3 linked regions of the Diceros bicornis minor genome follow. The protein of the gene in region 2 interacts with the protein of the main gene of each other region in a biochemical or structural test. Links are inferred from orthologs where the notes say so. Each region holds a gene or a part of one and is shown on either strand. Other genes may lie near its edges.

Region 1 (7,731 bases), on a different chromosome or scaffold from region 2:
CACTCAGTGTTCTATTACTTTGGATGGATAAGCTGATGATCTAGATTACAGACATTTAAGCCTGGGGAAATAGATCTTGACTCTGTAAGAGCCTTCCAAGATATACTAACCAAAGAGGCCCAGGCTAAAACAGTGTATCTGATCTCATAAGGCATATAGATAGACATAGACATGCTACAAGTCAGGACATGGGAACATTTGACACTTGAAAAGTGTAAGAAGAATATTCTAGAAGTCAAAATTACAGTTGCTAGCTGGGAGACTGAAGCCCGACCAATTCAGTGCAGTGACCTCAGAATTAACATTGGGAGGCAGAAGAGAAGAGTGGTGAAATGCACAGGCTCTGAAGTCAGTGGCTTGTGTTCAAATCCTGGGCCTGACACTGACCAGTTGTGCCACCTTGAGCAAGCTACCCAGCCTCTTTGAGTTTTGGCTTTCCCATTGGTAAAATGGGGATAATAATAGTATTTGCTTTATAGGGCTGTTGATATAAATAAATGAGACAATACACGCAAAGTGCTTAGCAGGAATGGCTGGAATGTAGTATGTGACTAACAAATATTAGCTATTATTCCAAGAATAAAACCTTAGAAGCAGGCAGAGCTTCAGCTAGAATTAGGGAGCATCCTCTGAGTCATGAAGGAGGTAAAATTAGGAGAAGTAAAAGGAACTGTACATAGCAGACGGAAAGATAAAGAACTTGCTGTCTTCAGTAGATCGTGCAGATTTAGAATATAAGTTGGGGGCTGGCCCCGTGGCTTAGCAGTTAAGCGCGCACGCTCTGCTACTGGTGGCCCGGGTTCGGATCCCGGGCGCTCACCGACGCACCTCTTCTCCGGCTATGCTGAGACCGCGTCCCACATACAGCAACTAGAAGGGTGTGCAACTATGACATACAACTATCTACTGGGGCTTTGGGGGGGAAAAAAAAAAGGAGGAGGATTGGCAATAGATGTTAGCTCAGAGCCGGTCTTCCTCAGCAAAAAAAGAGGAGGATTAGCATGGATGTTAGCTCAGATCTTCCTCACAAAAAAAAAAAAAAGAATATAAGTTGAGTTAGATGTCCCACTACTGTGTCCCTAGAACCCCATCCTTTCCTCTATCACAGCTCTTATTAAGTGAATTGTAATTGTTTGCTTGTCTATCTTCTTCACTAGACTATGAGCTACTTGAAGGCAGGTATGTGCTTTTTTTTTCTCTAACCTAAGTACCTACTACAGTGTCTGTCCTACAGTAGATACTCCTAAATGTTGGTTGAAAGAATAAGCATATTTAAAATAGGCTTAAATAAACACACACAACAACCCTGACTCTGGCTTCTCACTTACAAAAGGGCATTCGAAAAATTAGCCTCATAGGTAAAACCCAGATCTTATCAAAAGGAGGTGCTCTTTTTTTAAGACATTTTTTTTTCTTTTCTCATTTTTGTAAAGGAAGTGAATTTTAGTAAGTGCCGAGAGAAGGTGTAAACTCACCACTGGTGACAATATCATAACACTGTCACAGGAGAATTCACACCTATAGATGAGCTAGTTGAAGAACAAAGTTAGTTTTGAAAGGTTAGAGAAAAGGATTTTGAAATGTCAGATCCACTCTATAAAATTGACCACCCTTGGCATCATCCCTTTAATCTACCTGGGTTTGAGAATAGCCTAGAGCATTTGAAATGAAGACAATTAGCACCTCAGACAGGGCATCCACATGTAAAATTCTGTCACCTCTCGGAGACCTCAGGAGGTGTCAAGTTTAGATAAGAAGACACTTTCAACCTTGGCTGACAGTTTGTCAGTGCTTTTATATTTGATTTAAATGGCATCTGTATTCTAAAAGGTTGTACTTTGCTTTAAACTGTGAAGCCCTCTTCCTCCATCTCATGATTTTTATTTCTTGCATCATTTAAAAACAACAAGAATAAAGATCTTTCCTCTATTGGGTGAGACCTGAGGAAACAGCTCTTGCTTCTTGCACACAAATGAGCTCAGTCCTTTTCCCCTCTGTTTCTCTCTAAAGTACGTTCGGCTTTTGTTTAAAGCACAGAATGTTAAAGCTGGAAGTGGCCTTAGGGGTCATCTGGTTCAACTCCGTTTGACAGATGGAGAAAATGAGACTCAGAGAGAGGAAGTGATTTAGTGGCGAAATATGGAATATAATTTGACTCTCATAATTGCTGGACTAGTCCTCCTTCCAATTCATCTTGCCATTTCAAAGGTGGGCCAGAGGCATGGAGAATCAAATTTGTGTGTGTGTGTGTGTGTGTATTTTTTTCTCTTATTTTCTTGAGAGCACTAAGTTCATTCATTTGTTCACTCATAAATACATTTAGCATCTAATATGTGCCAGATGCCGGCTACACAGTGGTGAACAAGGTACACAAAATCCTGATGTCATGGACCCTATGTTCTAGTGGGGAAGACAGACAATAAACAATCAGATAAGTCCGCTTCTAAGTGGATTATACTTGTATTTGGGGCCCATTCTTCCTAACTCTTTCTCTATTGGTGCCTCCACTATCTCTACTGCTCCCCTCTTTCAGCTTTTCCCCTTTCCTCTCTTGTAGGTATGGTGAGAGAGAAGGAAGAGAGCCATTTCAATCTCTCTTTCTCCACACTTCAAGCTCAGCGTGAAGTTTTGAATTTGCTCAAGTCAGGTTTAGTAACGGTGTAGCACTAGAGTGAAGATGTCAGTGTTTTTCATCAACACTGCAGTAGTGGGCTGGCTCAGCTGTCAGCTTGCTTGTGAGATGACAATGAGGGACTGGATGTGAGAGTTGTACTATTACCTTATAATTTGTCTGTTCTTTTATTATACGATTTTAGTTGTGCTGAACCCCACCGTACCTGGGTGCTTTGACAGCTGTGCTATTTTAGCAATACGGAACAAAACAGAGAACGAAAAGAAGAATGCATGGTACGCTTTTGCTGTCAGATCCAGGTTGCTCTGTTCTTAAGTTTGCGGATGATTTGTTCAGGGTTGTTCAGAGACAAAAAGGCTGGAGTTTTCTTTTTACCTATGTGACACTGAATGTTCTCACAGTTTACCTCACAGGCGGGCTGTTGTCCATATGGATTGGATGAGGGGATCCCCTTCCCTACCTTTTCCTTTCGTGTTTGAAATTCCACCATTGTGATTAATTTCTCTGGGCTAAGCATTTGCCTGCTCAAAATATAAAGATTTCAGGGTGGACTAACCTCTCACATCCTTAACATTGGTGTATTATCAGGTCAATTTCTTCCTTAACCCAAAGCGTGAAAAAGGATGAGAGGTGGAGTTGGCCATAAATGAATGAGGTAGGAAGATGATAAGACAATCTTGATTCAATTCCCCAGAGCCATCCCCAAATATCATCTTGAATGCTATTTTATTTATTTATTTTTTAATTTTGGTATTGCAAATGACTGTAGGAGGCTTATGTTCATGTTTTATCTACTAAGATTGATAGATTCTAAGGCTGGGCATACTTCAATCAAGAAGGAGAGCTGCCAATGAAATCTTAGAGGATTATTCTCAACCCTAGCGGGAGGATAGCAAATATCTAGCTTTGGTGCAAAGGCAGCTCTGTGCATCCGATCCATTGGTAGGACATGTGAGGACTTAAAAATTGTTCTCCCTTTCGAACTCCCAGCCTTGCCGTGTTCTCAAGGAACTAGGCGCTGAAGTTGTGGAAGATATACAACAGACAACGTAACTTCAGCTATTTAAATTCCAATTTTAAAAGTATTTTACATAATCAAAAGGAAAAATGTATAAGACCGTTCAGCTTCAAGCATTAAACAAAGTCTTATTCTAGCGAAAAAGGAGGAAGTTTACGGGAAATATTACTTAACAGCACATTTTGAAATAAAAGCATGGCTTTATTTCAGAGAAGGAAATGAAGGTTGAAAGGTTTTAAAAAATTAATGATAATTTAGCATCAACTGGAGAAAAAACATATTCTCTATTAACAACAGAGGATAAAAGTTACAACACAATTATCAACACTTGCAATATGATTTAAAACAAGTTTTATGCCCCAAATTCTGAAAGGTGGGCCCTATGACATCAGAGGGCATATACAAGTCCACATAAAGACAAAACACCACTAAATGATACATTCTCTCATTCAAGGCCCATCAAATAGCTAAATCTGGAACATGTCTGGACATAGAGTAATTTTTGTACCTCAAGCAGCACTTTGGGATCTTGGACAAGAAGGTAGGAAAAATCTGTATTTGTTCAAGATCAAGATTGCTCAAGAAGACTAGGAGGAGCAGAAGAGGAGGGGGCCTAGGGAGGGAGAGAAGATACTTGCCCCAAGTCCCTTGTTCACCTACTACTTCTGATTCTGTAGGAGCCTCCTGGCTATGCTCAGTTTTGGTCTCAGAGCTTTTGGCCCTTTCATTCTCTGTCAGTATTTTTCTGCCCGCATGAAGGCCATGTACAACTTGCCTCTATCATCACTCCCTTTTGGGAATAGTTAAGCTAAGTCACCCCTGGTGTTCGGTCCCTGGGAAAATGCAAGAACAGAAGCATTATCAAGCATTCCTGCGTGCAAGGGTCTGCATTGGCAGTGCCGCCCACATCTTGCAAGGACCTTCTTCCAATTGTCCTCCCCTCTCCGTATGAACCCTGTTTTTTTTTGGGGGGGGCGGGTTAGGAGGGGCGAGTGGGGAGGGGATCAAACCCTGTGGCGATAACCAAGCTGCTGAATCGCTGAGCAGGTTTTAATTGAAGTGTGAGAAGGAGGTTTTAAGGCAGGTAGACAACATCCTGTTGTTAGGGCGCTCCCCTCTCTTTTTTGCACATCTGGCTGAACTGGGAGTCAGGTGGCTGACTCGTGCCTGGTTGCCATCCCTTCAACCGTCCCACGCCTCGGCCCGCCCAAGAGTCCACCAAGCCATGGATGCGGTGACTGTGTATCATGGCAAAATCAGCCGGGAGACCGGGGAGAAGCTCCTGCTCGCCACGGGTCTGGACGGCAGTTATTTGCTGAGGGACAGCGAGAGTGTCCCGGGCGTGTACTGCCTGTGTGTGCTGTGAGTACGTCGCGGCCGCGGCTGGGGCTGGGGCCTGCAGAGGGCACGGGCAGCGGGCACGGGCAGTGGGCACGGGCGGCGGGGGGCCAGAGGCCTCAGTAGGCAACGGGTGGGCAGCAGGAGCTCGTCGAGGCCTCCTCCACTGCCCACCAGAGAGCCCTAAGGGCTTTCTCAGAGCCAGCCCAGGGCTGTGGTGGACCATGCTTTGGCCTAGGCCCCCAGTGGAGATTTCACTCCCTGGGCCCTCCCGCTCTCCAGAAGGGCCTCGCCCGGGCCGTTTAGGGCAGCTGCAGAGAATGCCCTTTGGGGTAGGGAAACGCAGCCTAGAATTTACCTTTGCTCCGAGAAAGACCCAGACTCCCGAATTCCGTTTTGACCTCCATTAGAGGCCAGCAAGCTGGAACCCTAGGAGGGTGGACAGGCCAGATTTGGGGCCACCAGCTCCTGAGAGAATGAAGGGCCTCTCCCTAGATCTCTTTAAATGGATTCGGAGGTGTCATGTGAAAAGAAGACCATCACATTCAGGGAGAGGAAGAAGACTAAGAAACTGAATCCACTACTAAGAATGCAATGCCAGTTAGGTCAGGACGCCGAGACGGAGATGTTTGTGAGTGAAACTGACTCTCTGGATCTGCTTATTTAGCTTCCTTTAGAGGAGTTGTGTGGGGGCAGGGGGTTTCAGAAATAAGACCCTTTCTTGATATAAACTAGGACTGACAACAGTCGTAAAGGGCATGGAGGGAAAACACCCTTGTTGTGATTCAACTTTGCCGTTTACCTAGGCATGTCTTAGTCTGACACCTCATTTTGAAGCAGATGCACCTTCATCTTTGCTCCAGGGCTCCAGAGTCAGGCAGAACTGAGACTTAATCCTGTGCTTGTCCAATGCTAGGCTTGTGACCTTGGCAAGTTAACTTCTCAGTCTCTCAGTTTTCTGGTCCATAAAATGGGTATAATATGACTACCTACTTCATAGGATTGTGAGGATTAAATGCCATAATGCAAGTAAAAAATTTAGCACTGGACCTGATACATAGTAAATGTAAGCTGTAGTTATTAATATATGCTTTTCTTCAGTCGATTTCTTTCAGTACTCATGGGGCATTTCTAAGGAAGTACCTAGCTCAATCACTTTTTGTCAGCAGGATAAAAATAGCCATGAAAAGACTGGCTCTGCACAATAGGTTCTAGACAGAAACAAAATGAGGGAAAATTCTTGGTAGTAATTTTGGTACCTAATGATACACTGTGAGCTTTTGAAGTACCCTCTGGGTCAGTGAAGAAAGATTATGCTGAGGTGTTAGAGGATTTTCTTTATTTTTTTAAATGGTCAAGCCATGTGTGGGGCAACTCTCAGGCCATGCTAAATACATTTATTATAAAGGCTTCAAGGGAAGTACGTGGAAGCCGTTGAATCTCTTGGGCTCAGATCTTTATGTTTTGCTTATATTATTGTTTTTCCCAGGTGGAAACTGGGCAAGGTCAATGAAAACCAACTAGTATTCTTAGGCCCTTTTCTTATCAAAAGAAGGTGGAGGAGTGAGTAGGCCAGCAAAAGGGGCTTCTTTAGGGAAGCTGACGTAGGAGGTAATGGGCCCCTTAACCTAGAGGTCAAAAGTAAGGTACAGAAGCCTGGGCAGGGGAGGGAGAGCAGGGGACAGTGTGTGGCAAGATGCGCCTAAGGCTTCAGCCACACTGGCCTTTTTGTTGTTCTTTAAGCTTGCCAGGCATGCTCCCCTCTTAGGATCTTTGCACTTACTGTTCCTTCCGCCTCGTCCCTCAGAGAGGACTTCCTTGACCACCCTATCTAAAATAAGTGCCCTCTCTCCGTCTCTGTTACACTCTATCACTTTATTTTATTTTTCTTCAAGGAGCTTTAAACTATCTGACATTTCCTTGTTTATTTATTTATTGCTAGGCTCTCCTGTTAAAAAGTAATCTCCACGAGGGCAGGGACATTTTCTCATGCACCAGGAACACAGCCTGGCACATAATAGGCATTATGATGCACATTAGGAGGTATGTAATGGGCACTCAATAAATATTTTTGAATTAATGAATGAATTGTCAAGGCAAATACTGTTCTTTACTGCAAAGAGCTTTGGGCTGATATCAGGAGGCCAGGGTGTAGTCTCGAGAAGTCACTCAACTTTTCTGGGTCTTGGTTTCCATATTTGTAAAACAGGAATAGGGATGTGTGCCCCACCTTCTGCATAAGATTACTGTTGGTAAAATATTCAAGAGAGGTGGACAACTCTAGGCCTTTGCCCATGTAGGCCAGGACCACATATGGAATTAATTTAGGCTGGTGGGAAATTCTCAAACATTTAAGTTTTCACCCAAAGTGAATCTTACATAAATGCAGTTTTGATGACTCTTAGTTCTCCATGCAAACCTCTTTATGAAGTAGCAAAAAAATAATAGGCAAATTGGGAGTCCGTCTAGCATGTCTTTTGATGGGCGCACTGGAGCCACCACGTCTTAGAGGGTGATTGCCACACTGTGCTGCTGAGGGAAGACACAAGGATACATTGCCTTTTATGACAGTTGCTCAACCTTTTTGAGCCAAGAGTCCCTTTTGATAAACGTAAACATTTTATTCCCCCTTTTTAGTACTACACTGTAGTAACAAAATTAAATTTTATTTTGAAATAAACCACGTACTCATTTTAAACAAAAATGTATATGCTTATGATATGCAGTAGAAATAACAATATAA
Region 2 (7,504 bases):
CTCCAAAGAAGATATACAGATGGCCAACAGACATATGAAAAGATGTTCAACATCATTAACTATCAGAGAAATGCAAATCAAAACTACAAAGAGATATCACCTCACGCCTGTCAGAATGGCTATAATTAACAAGACAGGAAACAACATGTGTTGGAGAGGATGTGGAGAGAAGGGAACTCTCATACACTGCTGGTGGGAGTGCAAACTGGTGCAGCCACTATGGAAAACAGTATGGCGAGTCCTCAAAAAATCAAGGATAGAACTACCATATGATCCAGCTATTCCACTCCTGGGTATTTATCCAAAGAACCAAACATCAATGCATAAAGATACATGCACCCCTGTGTTCATTGCAGCATTATTCACAATAGCCAAGACTTGGAAGCAACCTAAGTGCCCATCAAGGGACTAATGGATAAAGAAGATGTGGTATGTATACACAATGCAATACTACTCCGCCGTAAGAAACGATGAAATCCAGCCATTTGTGACAACATGGATGGACACTGAGGGTATTATGCAAAGTGAAATAAGTCAGAGGGACAAGGTCAAATACCGTATGATTTCCCTCATTAAGTAGTAGATAATAACACAATAAACAAACACATAGAGACAGAGATTGGATTGGTGGTTACCAGAGGGGAAGGGGGGAGGGAGGAGGGCGAAAGGGATAATTCGACACATGTGTGCGGTGATTGGTTGTAATTAGTATTTGGGTGGTGAACATGATGTAATCTATGCAGAAATAGAAGTATAATGATGTACACCTGAAATTTATACTATGTTATAAACCAATGTTACTGCAATAAACAAAAAATTTAAAAAAATGTAATTGAATTTTAAAATTAAAAATTATTATTATTATTATTATTTTTGGTGAGGAATATCAGCCCTGAGCTAACATCCATGCAATCCTCCTCTTTTTGCTGTGGAAGACCAGCCCTGAGCTAACATCTATTGCCAATCCTCCTCCTTTTTCTCCCCAAAGCCCCAGTAGATAGTCGTATGTCATAGTTGCACGTCCTCCTAGTTGCTGTGTGTGGGACGCCGCTTCAGCATGGCCAGACAAGCGGTGCGTCGGTGTGCGCCTGGGATCCAAACCTGGGCCGCCAGTAGCGGTGCGTGGGAACTTAACCGCTAAGCCACGGGGCTGGCCCCTATTTTTAAAAAATAAAAATGGATTACTATTTCTAAAAACAGTTGCAGCAATTCACTTGCATAATATATTTGGTTTATAAAGTTTGCTTTCTTAAAACCAGCCCACAAACAGATTAATCATGATGATTGTTCATTGATTGTGTTGGTTAATTTTATGTGTCAACCTGACTGGGCCACAGGGCACCTAGATATTTGGTTAACCATTATTCTGAGTGTTTCTGTGAGAATATTTTTGGATGAGATTAATATTTAAATTGGTAGACTGAGTAAAGCAGATTGTCCTCCCCAATGTGGATGGGTTTTATCCAACCAGTTGAAGGCCTGCATAGAACAGAAAGACTTACCTTCCCTGGAGTCATAGAGAATTCTGCTGCCTGATGGCCTTCAAACTGGGACATTGGCTCTGCAGATTTTGAACTTGCCAGCCTTCATAAATGCATGAGCCAATTCTTTATAATAAACCTCTTTATGTCTATCTCCATCTTCATCTCTCTATCTGCGTTTATATATCTTCTATTGGTTTTGTTTCTCTGGAAAGCCCTGACTAATGGATTGATCTTAAATTACGTAGTTGAACATCTGGAAACTTGAAGAACTGATATTTTAAATCATCACACATGTAATATAGTCATTGTAAAAAGTTCTCAACAGAAGTATATGTGGAATAAAAAGTAAAAGTCACTCTCTCACTCACTCCTCCTCCAAATTCTATTTATTTACCTAAAGGTTACCATCATGAATACATTTTTCCCAGGCATGTGTCTCTGCATTTACAACCATTCAGAGAATATAAATATACACACACTTAGTTCTGTCCACCTGAACAGAACTATATCATGCAGATTGTTTTGTGAATGTCTTAGAGCTCTTTTAATATGAGTATGTATACATTTATCTTACTCTTTTTAAAGGCTTCTTAATACACTGTAGTAAAGAATGAATACACCATATTTTTTAAACTGTTTTCTACTGATTAAAATTTAGATTGTTTCCAATTTTTTACTTAACAATATTGTAAGGAAAACCTTGTTTGTCTTTCGGCATTTGTGCAACTATTTTTGGTGCGTTGGTGAGAGTATTTCTGCTGGATAAATTCAAAGAAGAGGTATTGGTAGGTCAAAGAGCATACAGATTTAACATGTTAATGATTACTGTTAAAATGCCTTCTATGAATTATCAAAGCTAAAGGTGCTCTTGGGAACCCCGAACGTACAGTAAGTCTCAGAAGTGGGTGGTTTGGGGGACTTGTGAACTTTGCAGCTGGGATAACTAGAATGACCTTGGCTCAGTGAAACATAGTGAAAGTACAGTTTGGGAAAAGGAAGGACAAGAGGGTGGGGGTTGATGAATCTTTAATTCCTGGATTGCTACTGATCTTTAAAAGTATCAGACGTACAGAGACCTGGGGAATATGCGTAGGAAATGGAGCTACAGAGTCTCTGAGTTTATGTGGACTTTGCAGGGTCTTGGGTCTTCATGCTAAAGTGGCTGAATTGCACAGAAGGTCTCTTTGCACAAGGATCCTGCAGGGCAAGATATAAACTCTATGAAGGCAGGGACCATGGTGACTTAGCTTAGGAGTTTATCTCAGGGGGAATGGAAATGCTTTTCCTAGGGAATTCATTCCTTCTTTCAGCACTCAACAATCTATAACTAACCATTAAGAACCAGGCAGTGGGCCAGGCTCTGGAAACACTAAGCTAAGGAGAGCACAGATCTCATGTTGAAGAGCTCAGTTGGCAGGGCAGTGTGTAGAACAAGTAGCAGTTATTATGTGGTAGAGTATGTTAAGGACCGTGAGATACGCAAGTGGTATGCCTGCTCCAGTTTAGTTTCTAGGGGTTGGTGGGTCATCCACATGACTGGCGGGGAGAGGATGGAGCTGGTTTTGGGGTCAGGATCAGTGAAGCAGATTCCTAATTCCTGTTGTTCATTAGTTGCTTTGAACAGTTGGACCTTGTCTTCCGTCTTTCACGGGGGTAAGTTTATCCTTCCTTGTTGCATCATGTCTTGAGTATCACTTCTCAAGGTCAAAGGCATGGCCAGATCAACTCTGAGGAAACTCTCCAGGGGTGAGGGCTGCCCCTTGGGAAAAAACAAAGAAGAGAACAGCTGAAACCATTAGACCAGCTGGAAAAAGCTATGTAGGGCTATGTTTAAAAAAACAAAATGAAACTTACCTATGTCCAAGGTTTTTTACATGCATACTCTCAGGCACAGTTTTTAATTTGGTCCTAAAAACTACCTCATGAGGAAGGGGAGTATTGTTGACCCCACAGGCTCAGAAAGCAACTTGGCCAGGATCACACAGGTCGTGAGTTGCTGAACTGGAACTCAAGTCTATGTCTTTGACTCCAAATCCTGTACTCTGTCCGGAACATCACTGCAGCCTTCATGGCAGCCAAGGCTCTCAGTCTGCCTCCCCTCAGCCCAGCTTCAGACAAGGTGATTGGAAATGGATCAAAGGATGGACAAAGAGAAGAAGGGCTGACCTGAAGGGAACTGAAAGCATTTGCTGCTAAGGGGAAAGCAGAAGAAAGAAAAAGGCACGGAACCCTGGGGAAGGCCTGAAAGCAAATGCTTTCTGGAAAAGGTGGGAAGTCACTGCCCCTACCCCTCCAAGGAGGTGTGAGGAGGGTCAAAAGCTGCCTGGCCCTTCTGGAGAGTGGAATTGAAGTGTGGATGGGAGAGGACCACAAAAATGGGTCTCCATTCTGTCTGGATGAAAGAAGGCAAGAGAAGGAAGGCAGAACTACTATAGGAAAGTAGAAAAAGAGGAAGGGAGGGAATTTAGAAGTACAGTTAGGAAACTGGAGCAAAAGCAAATTCTCATGAAACAATTTGAATTTGTATGTGTTTAAACTTTAGTATCGTCTTGCAGAGCATCCCCAGGTCTGTCAGGTTTGTCAGGTGCCCCCAGTTCTCAGGCCTCCTCCTATGTCTCCCAGTTGCTCCTCTCCTTCAACGCTTCTCCCGCTTGTCTAGGGTCCACTTCTCAGCCCACACTCTCCCCACCCCTCTCCCCTCTGCTTCACACTGCCTGTTGGAATGAGACAGTCTAGCATCATGGCTGTTTGGTCCCCAGGTAGGTTTCTACGTATTGCCAGTAGGATGGAGAGAATTGGAAAATTTCTTGGGCATCTGCCCTTTGAATGAAGCAGCCAGGCTGGGGCAGAGCGAGGGCCAAGGTATTGAAGCTCCCTTTGCAAGCCACTGTGAACTCCGAGCACCCGCCCACTTGAGGCACCCTTTGCAAATTCAGTTTGTGGGAACTGTCAGACCAAGTCTAGGGACTGGGGCTTCCTCAGTGGCCTTATTAGTTGTCAGCCGATGAGAACAGCCTCAAGTTGAGGAAATTGTGGCCAGACAGGCAGTTCTGCTCCCCATCGCCCTCCTGCTGACTCGCGGCTGCTGAGCCTGTGCACTGCGGAGTGTCTGGTGGGATAGGAGCCGGCCTGGCCCCTCTGTCCTTTGGGTATGTTGGGGCAAGCTCTTGCTCTCACACTTCTCCTGCTCCTCAAGGGGCATCAAGGCCAAGGTAAGGAGGTCCAGCCTGGGATGGGTGGGAGCTTGTATGTACTGGGGGCAGTGGCCCTCAGGGAGATCAGAGCCTCTGGATTGTACTGCTTACATGGTCGCCTGTGACTCTGAGCAGCTCCTGACAGCTCTGGACAGGTGAAGTCAGACATGTCAGGCTGGCAGTGGGTTGGGAGGTCCTTGAGAAGCGGATTGGGCCATGCCATCACTAATCCAGGCAGCCTTGGGCAAGGAGATTCCTTTCCACTGGCTTCAATGTACCTTTCTGCATAGTGGGGAGAAAGTGTCCTCCCTGCTGGCTATGAGACGGACAAAGGAAATATCCCCTAATTTGGTGCGATTACCAGCAGAGAGGAGAAGTGGCCCCCGGGCTTGGGTTTCACGAGAAAGTTGAGTGGTTCTGCAGCTCAGAGACTGACAGATTGCTCCCTGTCAGGGAGGGAAGCTGAGCACTGAGGAGGGGAGGGCAGGCCAACAACCAGGACAGAGGCTTAATCTGCATGGCCTGGCCCCTCATCTCTCAGCTCTTCCAGCAGCCCAGAGGCCATAGAAGCCTGAGAATTATTAGGACAATGTTGGCTTGGGGCAGACAGCAGGGAAGGGGGATAAGGAGACAATATTAGGAAGCTCCACAGCAAACGGAAAGCTGTCAGCTGGGTGTCAAGCCATCTCATGTTTACTTGGGGGGATCTCAGCTGTGGGCTGCTCCCCTCATTCTCCAGCCCTGGAGTCTAGGGTGCTCTGAGACTTGGAGCCTGGAGTGACTCTTTGAGGGGCAGCGTGGGTGGGGGTGGAATGAGAGGAGGGCACACTTGGGTGCAAAGGGAGGAAACTGAGGCACAGGGTGTGTGTCCAGGGCCTGTTAGAAGCCCGATATGGAATAAACTCCCCTCCCTGGGTACTTAGTTCAATTCTTGAGCCTCCAAGCGCTCTGGTGTCCTTTAGGAAGACACAATCTAGGCTCAGGTGGTCTTGACATTTGTGATGAATACAGGCAGAGGAAGGCAGAGCGTGACTAGGAACTGGGAGCAGAATGAGAGAGGTCTGGAGCCTGGGGCTCATGTGTGTGGGCTGGTGGGACCCAGTGACCCAGGATCCTAGGCAAGAGAGCCAGGTTGGATCCTCGGTCTAAGCAGCCTCGAAAGTGCCCCAGACAGCTGGGGTAGGACTGAGGGGATTTTGTGCCTGGCTTTGGAGATGAGAGTGACAGAATGTTGAGGCTAACTCTGAGATCATGAGCCTGTGTAACACGAGGACGATGCTCCCTCTGTCCCCATGCCCTGGGCTGCAGCACTCTCTTTGGGCATGGCTATGCCAGACCACTGCAGGTGAAGCGGGCGAGTGATTCTTTGGGCATAAGGAGGCATGGACTTTGGTCTTAGGGAACTTCTCTCTCTTCTTGCTATGTCCTGTATCTGTGGGCCTGGCTGGTGTAAGCTGACTGAAACTGCTCTATTCATTTATTTTAATTTTCAAGCTTTCTAGTTTGAAATAATTTTGGAGTTGCAGAGAAGTTGCAAAAATAATACAAAGATTCTTGAATTTCCTTCACCTAGATTCACCAGTTATTAACACCTTATCACATTGGCTTTATTTCTCTTTCTCTCCATATATATGTGTGTGTATATAAATACATAGTAATTATTATTTTTGCTGAACAATTTGAGGTTAAGTTGCAGACATCATGGCCTTTACTCCTAAATATTTTAGCACATATCTTCGAAGAACAAGGACATTCCTATATCATATCATATCATATCATATCAGCACAATTATCAAATTTAGTAAATTTAACATTGATACAATCAAATACACAGCCCATATTCAAATATTACCAATTTTCCCAATAACATGCCTTATGGCATTTTTTTCCTGATCCAGCATCCAATCAGGATCATGCATTACATTCAGTTGCTATGTCTGAGCTTTGCAAAAATCTTCCAGAGGCTTCTCACTTCAAGCGGAGTAAAAGCCATACATTTTACAGCAGCCGGCCTCCCTGGCCATCTCCCCTTCCTCTTGCTCACTGCATTTCAGCCACACTGGCTGCTGGTCCTTGAACACCTCCACTCCAGGGCTTTGCACTCAGTGTTCTCCACCTGGAACGCTGCTCCTACCCCACCCTCACGGCACCACGTGCCACATGGCTTCCTCCCTCAACCTCTCAGGATTCTGCTCCAATACCACCTTCTCAATGATGCCTTCCCCTCTAAAAATGTCAACCCTGCCATCCTGCAACTCCTTATCTCCCTCTCCACTTATTTTTCTTTGTAGTACTCGTCTCCCTTTTAAATACTACACCGTTTCCTTATTTGTTTTATTTTCTGTCTCCCAGGCTCTTCTTTCCCTCGCTAGAAGGTAAGCTCCTTGAGGCAAGGGCTTTTCTCTGTTTTGTTCGTGATGTATCTTCAGCATCTAGAACAATATCTGGCACAAGTAGACACTCAATAAATATTTATTGAATGAATGAATACTTTTAATAATCCTGGAATAGAGTGAGAGTTTATCTGTCTACTAGAGAGTTTCACTGGGAACAGTTGTTCTAAATTTTAAACCAGAAACTATCTCTGTGGCCTTGAGGAAGTTAACCTCTTGTTTCTCAGTTTTTCACCCATAACTTGAAGTCAGCAGTGGTGCTTGCTTCATAGGGGTGTGTGAGGATTAGACAAGACAGAGTATATAAAGTGCTTAGAAAAACATTGAGTTATAACAAATACCCCAAAATGAACACTCATGTTATTCAGCTCTTTGGAGGCTGGGCATATATTTCACTTAGTTTTGTAATCAGAGTCAAGAAGAGACTATTCAG
Region 3 (7,733 bases), on a different chromosome or scaffold from region 2:
ATTAGTCAGAGTTCTGCAGAGAAATAGTGCCAATAAGATGTGTGTATATATATATATATGTATATATATACACACACATCTCTCTCTATATATATAGAGAGAGAGAGAGAAAGAGATTTATTTTAAGGAATTGGCTCATGTGATTGTGGAAGCTGGCAAGTCAAAAATCTGCGGGGTGGGCTGGCAGGCTGGGGACCCCGGGAGGAGTCGATGCTGCAGTTTGAGTCTGAAGGCCATCTGCTGACTGAATTCCCTGTTCTTTGGGGAACCTCAGTCTTTTTTTGTTAAGGTTTTCAACTGATTGGATGAGGCCCACCCACAACATGGAGGGTAATCTGCTTTACTTAGAGTCTACTGGTTCAAATGCTAACCACATCTAAAAATATCTTCACAGAAACATCTAGAATAATACTTGACTAAATATCTGGATTCCGTGGCCCAGCCATGTTGATACACAAAAATTGACTATCACAGCTCCCTTTGCTTTTGGTGACTCAGTGTCACCACTTTGATCCTCCCCTGTCAATAAGATTCAGTGGGGGACACATCCGTCTCTCTGCCCAAGCTGGTAGGCAGTGGGGAGCCCTGGGGTACAGTGAAGGGCTTCAGTGAACACGGGAGGGGAAGGGAAGCATGATGATAATACTTAGAAATATTGTCTGGTCATTTGTGAAGTCACTCTGCATCTCTGCCTCCTCCCCCACCCCATGTCCCTACAGCTGGGACTTCATGGTCCATCTCCCAGCTCAGCCCCTTCTCAGCCCCTGAAAACCACTCTGCTTCCCGTCCAAGGGGGAAGGACCCTGGACAAGTGGCTTAATGGTGGTCCCCATTGTACCTCTCTCCTACCCTGCCCTGATGCTGTCCTGAGGCTCAAATGAAGAGTTCTAGCCTCTTGGGACCTGACCTGACATGAGTTTTCAGCAGCAGAATCCCTCCTATCCCTTGGTGCCTACCATGTAAGCTCATTTCTTCAACACTGAGGTTTTGTCTGTTCTTCCCAGAGCTTCTAGAGGCAGCCAAGTGTCCATGACCCAGTGCCTGCCAGATCACCCTGACGCTGCTCACTGCCTGACTCCCTACAAATTTTCCAAGCCCACTCCAATGTTGGGGACTGGCCAGGGCTGGCAGTGCAGTTGGGTGGGGTGCCCACACGAGCCCCGACCCCAGTTTTCCCCTTTGGCTGCTTTCCAAACTTCTGCCCTACATGTGGAGTTGACCATGGTCCAAAGAGCTCTGAGACTCAAGCCTATGGGATCTTTCTGGAGCCACATGGCTGGGTGTAGCTCAGGGGAGCAGGTCACTCCTTCTGACCAGTGTGGTACTTCTTTTGTGTGATGGCACAATATTGGGCCTCTAGAATGGTGCTGAGATCCTGATTTGGGATGATTCTCATGTCAGATACAAGACGAGCTCTGGCTCTGAGCTGCCCATGGGCCAGGGTCAATCTTTGACCACACCATGTGAGGGCCCACAGATTGCCTCTCACCTACAGCACTCCACCAACCGTGCTGCCTCCATTCAACAGCACTGAGGGCAACATTGATGGTGGCAGATGTTCTTTACCTTCTGCATCCCTGCCAAGAGCACCGGGGCAGTCACTCCATCCCCTCTGGAGGCTCGCATCCAGGTGTCAGGCAGCATTTCCTCCAGTGGATCTCGAGACCATTGCTCAACAACACCTATGGGCTCTTCCAATCAACCGAGGTTGAGTTCTCCAGGTTGATCTTAATCATGCCAGGTGCAGGGTGGACATTCCTTGAGAATAGAACTGCTCTCTTGTGTGGAAGGCAGGGGTGCGGTCATCATTGAAAGAGATCACAACACAGGAATGTGGTGATTATGGCCTAAAATTCAAGAGAAGATGGTTGGAAGGTGTATTGTTCTACATTTGTGCTATAAAATTCAGAACAGTAGATTTAACATACTAGAAAATGAATTATCGTTAACATTTGCTTGCATGCTCTAGGTAAGATATGCATTTGTGGTTATCAATGAAGCAAAGGAACAATCTCAGAGGGAATGGTTGGGGCCCAGTGTGCACGGGTGGCACAATGGCTGAAGCAGCATCACTGGTAATGACATAACCAGCAATAAAAAATGTGATTAGGAAATGCAGAGGCAAGAAAAAGATCTATGTCGTGTCAAAATGAACAGGTTCTGAAGAGCCACAGCACCGTGAATAACAGCAGCATGGCCACCCTCATCTCGCTGTACGAGATACGACACCAGCCAAGAATGGTCATTTAACGATAAATGGGACCGGAACAGGAAGAGAGGACCTGGACATCATGAAGACTCTTCAAGGGCACTGATTGGACGTTGAACATATACATAACTACCTCCTTTCTATCTGTTATTCTAAATCTTCATTGATAGATCAATATACCTCCCGTGGATCCATGAATTTCATAATACAAGTTTTAATTAAATTGTTTATATAGACAGGGCCCTGCCAAAAATATTTACTCAGGCCCCACCCACCACAAGGGCAGCCCTGATCTAGATGTTGGGGTTTTCTGAACGTAGGGGGCAGAAGGGCAGGGGGACAAGGAAGCTGACCATGTCGGATGGCTCAGACAATTGGGTTGGGAAGGAAGTGATGATGGGATGGGAAACGTGTGTGTCATGTATGTGTCAAAGGGAAATCACACTGGAGTCAAATGGCAGGGAGGGTCCGACTGCCCCGCTGTCCCCCGTGACTCTGCTGAGATGTAGGACTCAGTGGGAAAGAGATGTGAGAGAGGGAGTGTGAGAAGCTGGAGAGTGTGAGGGAAGATAGAAATAAGTGGGAGAATCTCAGACACGGTGGAGGGTCTCTAGGGATGAGCTGGTCAAGGTACGGAGGGGCCAGGATCCTCCTGATGGACTCTAGAGTGACCAGGGGACTTCAGGCCAAGAGCAATGAGGAAGTTGGTGGAGATCAGCAGGGAGGCGAGGAGAATGGTGCAAAGTGTATGATGAGAGTGTGGAGGCGGCGTGGGGCTGAGGTTGGGGCAAGAGAACGAGAGGCCACCACAGCAGCTGCTGGGGAGTCTGCATCCCCAGAGCCAAGCTGGCTTCGGGCAGGCCAGAGTGTGGAGGCCAGCTCTTATCCCCACCGTGTCGCCAGGCTAGCTCAGGCTTGCCCAGAGGGCCCTTGATACTATTGGCTGCAGGTTTGGGAGTTTAGTCCTTGGGGTCAGTGGGAGGAGTCAGGGGAGGGGACAGTCATCAGGGGAGAGGAAGCTCAGAGCTGCTTGGGGAGGAACTGGCTTTGGGAGGTGGAGTGAGGACGGGGGAGTTCTCTGGGCTCGAGTTACCAAAAGGAACTTCTCCTGGAGCCCAGAGAGGGCCTGAAGGCGAACCCGCTCTGCTCTGGGCCTCAGAATCAGGATGCGGTCAGTCCATCGGGATGAGAGCGCTTTGTTCGCTCAGAATCACCCGCTGTGTGTGCTGCTGCAGGCAGGGCTGATGGGGGCTCCAGCACACAGGAGTGCCTTCAGGGGCTACTTTCCTCAAGGGAGAGAAGAGGAAACCGGGGCTCAGAGAGAGATGAAACCTGACCGGCTCCTGCAACTCGAATGCAGGGGAGCCGAGTTCGAATGGAGGCTTGCCCCTGGAGGGGGTTCTGTTGTCATATCCGGGGGGGCCTGGATGTGGGATTGGGGGTCCACCCCTTGTGCAATAGGTTAGCACTTGCCCCTTCACCCTGGTGGGCCTGACCCAAGGACAGAGGGCATCCAGTCTGGGGTCTAAGGGGGTGGGTATCCACTTTGGAGCCCTTGGAATCTGCTGGTCCTGAGTGGTGGCCCCCGGGAGGCAGCTCCCCTTTGAGCCATGGGCAAACGTAGCCACGCCTGGCCTCGGGGGAGACGCAGTCCCACCGGCCACCCCAACTCTGTTGAAATGTAGGACACAGGAAGCAACGTCATCTTTGGCCAGGGGGTCAGCCTGCCGGCGGGGAAGTGTGGGTTTCCCAAATGTCCTGAAAAGACCCAGAGCTGAAAACCCAGCCTGCGTGCATGGGGCAATGGAGGACAGGTCACCCAGGCTTCCTTCTCACCCACCAGCCCCGGGGGACGAGAATAAAGGTGTCACAGAGCTGTCACCTGGGCCATCAGAGCCCTCAGGTGGTGTCACTCAGCTCCGCCCAGCTCCCAGGGCTGTGTGGTGTCTGGATGGCCTTGAGTCTCCAGTATGGGGAGAGGGCTCAACTGTACCCCTCCCCCTAAATTTGGCTCGGCCCCTGGGGCCAGGCCTTGTCCCAGATGAGAAGCTCTGCCCTGGGATCCTCGGTTCCTTGGGTAGTTTTGGGGAGGTGAGGGGGGCAGAGAGTTGAAAAGCCCTGGGGTAGAACAGAAAGCGGAGGGATCGCTCCAGGGCGGGGCCCTCCCATGTGAGCATTGGCACAGGCCCGGGAACAGCCGCTGCTTTGGCCCGTCCAGGCCTTTTAGGCCACACTTCTTCAGAAGTCAGCCATGAGCCTCCTGTCACCACAGGGGCTGACAGTTCCCGAGGAGGACTCGAGCTGACGTTTGCCCCTCTGCAGACCGAGACTCACTGAAGGAAAGAGAAAGGGCGGGAGGGGGAGAGGGAGGGGGCAGCAGGCCCAGGGTGGGCGGGGTGGGAAGGTGGAGGACCAGACGACTCTCTTGCTTGGGCTCTGCAATGAGGAAGTTCTCTGCAGCTCGTTTCCTTTCCCTCGCTGAGTGCCTGAAACAGGAAGTCGGTCAGTGAGCTGGTGGCAGCAGCCGGGCCAACCGACAGGGGACAGACAGCAGGTCCAGCTCCCAGAGCAGGGGCCTCAGCTGCCCTCGGTGGCACGTTGATCCTGGGGGTGGCCGCTGGCCCAGCCCGAGGAGGCCCACGGCCACCATGGTCCCTTGCTGGAACCATGGCAACATCACCCGCTCCAAGGCCGAGGAGCTGCTCTCCAGGACGGGCAAGGACGGGAGTTTCCTCGTGCGCGCCAGCGAGTCCATCTCCCGGGCGTACGCGCTCTGCGTGCTGTAAGTACAGTGCTCCTCACCCCGAGCCCCTCTGCCGGCCTCCTGGCCTCTCCTGTCCAGGCACAGAGATGATGGAGGTGTGACTATTGGGGTGTAAAGCCAGCTGGGGGCTTAGCCAGGCGCCTGGCACTGGGATGGGTTGTTTTTATGTCATGGGATGGAGTGGCCTGGCTCGCACACTCCCCGGGGTTGTTGGTGGGTCCAGCTGAGGCCCATTGCTGACCTGCTGGCCTTGAAGTTGAGGGATGGCAGCGGTGGAGCCCTCCAGAGCCACCCTGGGGCCTGGTCACACATTCCTCTTGCCCCTGAGCCATGGTGCCAGGGGCTTCCTCCGGGTTCCAGGGACCAGGAGAGGGGGGCCGGGGCTCTCCGAGGCAGGCGGAAGGTCAGGGCTCCATGGTGGTGGGTGTGTTAGAAAGCAGCTTTGTCCGCTCAGGTGTTGGTCAAAGATGTCCAGTTTGGAAACCCTCATGGAATAGCAGACGTGACAAAGGGGGACCCGTCTTGTGCCCAGGCTTCGGGATCCTAGAGGAAGCTGTTGTCTGGGGAGCCACGGATATGGGGTGTGTTCACTCAAGAGAGGACTTTCAGTTCACCCAGAAGTTGCATTCGGGCCCTGAGAGCAGAGGAAGTCACCATCACCAACAGTGAGAGCCTCTTCTCTCGCTGCCCTGGCACTCAGCTGCGTTCCCCTTCCCCCCCCGCCCCGTTTGGGCCTCTCTGCCCCCATCGACTCCCCCTGCTCCCTGGCTCTGGCATGTTGCTGAATGTGCCCGTTGTCCTAACAACCAAGGAACCAGCCACCTGCTGAAGATTCCTTTTTAGAACACCCTTCTTGACCCGTGTCTGAAGGAGGCCATCATCCCTGCAGCCCTGAGGTCTAACCATCCCTGCGCAGGCCTTGGGCAGTGCCAGGGCGCAATGGGGGAAGGGTGCGTCCACCTGCACCTCGGAGGTAGCGCCCCTGGGCTTGCAGAAATGTCCCTCTGAGCAGGCAGGAGGGGAAGTGGGTCACTGAACACAGACCTGTTTTGAGAATCGAGTCTAAGCATTTGTCCTGCGTTATCCCATTTCATCCTCACAACAACCTGAAGGGCAGGTCCTGTTATCGCCCCACTTTGCAGATGAGGACACTGAGGTTCAGACAGGTTAAGTGAGAGATGACAGTCAACCTGCTGCCCCCAGAGGGGGCACCCAGACAACCAGGCTCCTGCCACTCCACTCCCGCCCGTCAAGCTGGGTGTGAGTGTAGGTTCCGGGTGACAGCAGGAGAAGCCAGGGTGTTTACAAGGGCCAGCTGGGAGCATTTAGAAAATAGCTCAGGCTCACAGCTGGCCGACCGACCAGCCTGAGCCCTGACTGCGTCAGAGGCCCCACCTCCCAAGGTCCGCTTCCTGCGCCCCCCACTCTCACCCTCAGGGGAAGGGACAAAGGCCCCGACTTCCCTGCAGCACTGCCCCTGTGGGGACCTGCCAATGAGGCCTTAGAGACAGTGGTGAGAATTAGATCTGACTCCACTTGGCCCATGTGGATTTCTCTCCTGCCCCGGCGGGACTTGGCAGAGGGCCAATTTGGTTAGGTGTTTGCTGTGTGCCAAGAGCTTCCGGGGCTCTGGCTCGCTAATGTAACCTTCACAGCAGCCGTTTGCTCAGGGCGCTGTGGTTGCGCCCAGGTTACGGTCAGGGAACATGAGTCTCTCTGACTCCAAACTGGCAGCATCACAGCAAGCCAGAGGCAGAGCTGGGCGAGGCCCTGGGGACCTCTGGTCCAACAGCCCCTGAGTTTGCAGGTGAGCGGATGGAGTTCTGAGAGGTCGAGGCCTTTGTCCACACTGCCCTGCTGGCTGGTAGCAAACGGAGATCCAGGCCTGGTTTCCAGTATTCGTTCCTCCACCCCTCCTCCCCTCCCCTCATCTGCACTGAGTTACTCTCAGAGCCTCGGCAGATGTGTGGGGTCTGCACCTTAGGGGTAGTGCCCATGGTACCCACAGATGTCCACCATCCTCATAGCCCAGGCCTGGACTTCTCCTCAGCCTCCCAGCCCCAAGATCTCTTTGGCTCCCACACCAGGGCCTGGAGCCCTCCCGGGGAGTCCCTTCCCTTGGCCAGACCCTCACCCTGGTCTCCCCTTTCTCCTCTGCTTTGTGGGGGAAGCCACCTTTCCTGCAGGAGCAGGAGCCACTGTGGGCTGTGGGATACCACACACCACCAAGCTTTCCAAAAACCTGGAGATCTGCCACCATCCTTAATTTTGGCAGTTACGGAGACTTAAAAACTAAAAACTAACTAAATGAATGACAACTACCTACCACCTTCCAATGGCTCATTTCGTGAAAAAAAAAGCATCCTTTAACACCAAAAAAGTCAGGAAAGTCATACTCCTTAAAAAAAAAAAGCCAGTCCTTTAAATCAAATAGATTTAACTGTCCTGATCCGCAGTCTGGCGCTGGGAGCCCTGATGGTGTGAAGAACAACTGGGCTTCCCTCAGTTTCAGAAGCAACAGGCTTCACCCCTCTGCTGCCTCTCTGAAGTCAGCAGAGAGTGCAGGGACCCTGCGAGGTGCAGCTGTGGAGTCAGGACCATTTAATGACCCTGCTTTAAAAGTGAGCCAGGACTGCAGAAGGAAGCCACAAAGACTGGCCCTTCTGCTCTAGAAATATCCATAAGGAAAAAGACCCCCCCAATCCAGGGTGCCCAGACCTCATCCTGCCTGGGCCCCAGTGGGCTGGAGCCTCTTCCCAG

What was found.
Region 1: the proteins of CD244 (region 2) and SH2D1A interact in a biophysical measurement, tested with the Homo sapiens proteins (2 studies listed by IntAct). The link is inferred for Diceros bicornis minor from reciprocal best matches to the Homo sapiens genes CD244 and SH2D1A.
Region 3: the proteins of CD244 (region 2) and INPP5D interact in a biophysical measurement, tested with the Homo sapiens proteins (2 studies listed by IntAct). The link is inferred for Diceros bicornis minor from reciprocal best matches to the Homo sapiens genes CD244 and INPP5D.

Annotation. Positions count from the first base shown.
Region 1 is NC_080781.1:114,107,055-114,114,785, forward strand, and holds the start of SH2D1A (SH2 domain-containing protein 1A), read left to right. Parts: upstream 1-4,719; 5' UTR 4,720-4,875; coding exon 4,876-5,012; intron 5,013-7,731.
Region 2 is NC_080743.1:65,400,660-65,408,163, reverse strand, and holds the start of CD244 (natural killer cell receptor 2B4), read left to right. Parts: upstream 1-4,497; 5' UTR 4,498-4,635; coding exon 4,636-4,696; intron 4,697-7,504. UniProt on the Homo sapiens protein: Heterophilic receptor of the signaling lymphocytic activation molecule (SLAM) family; its ligand is CD48.
Region 3 is NC_080776.1:21,220,524-21,228,256, forward strand, and holds the start of INPP5D (phosphatidylinositol 3,4,5-trisphosphate 5-phosphatase 1), read left to right. Parts: upstream 1-4,721; 5' UTR 4,722-4,857; coding exon 4,858-4,991; intron 4,992-7,733. UniProt on the Homo sapiens protein: Phosphatidylinositol (PtdIns) phosphatase that specifically hydrolyzes the 5-phosphate of phosphatidylinositol-3,4,5-trisphosphate (PtdIns(3,4,5)P3) to produce PtdIns(3,4)P2, thereby negatively regulating the PI3K (phosphoinositide 3-kinase) pathways.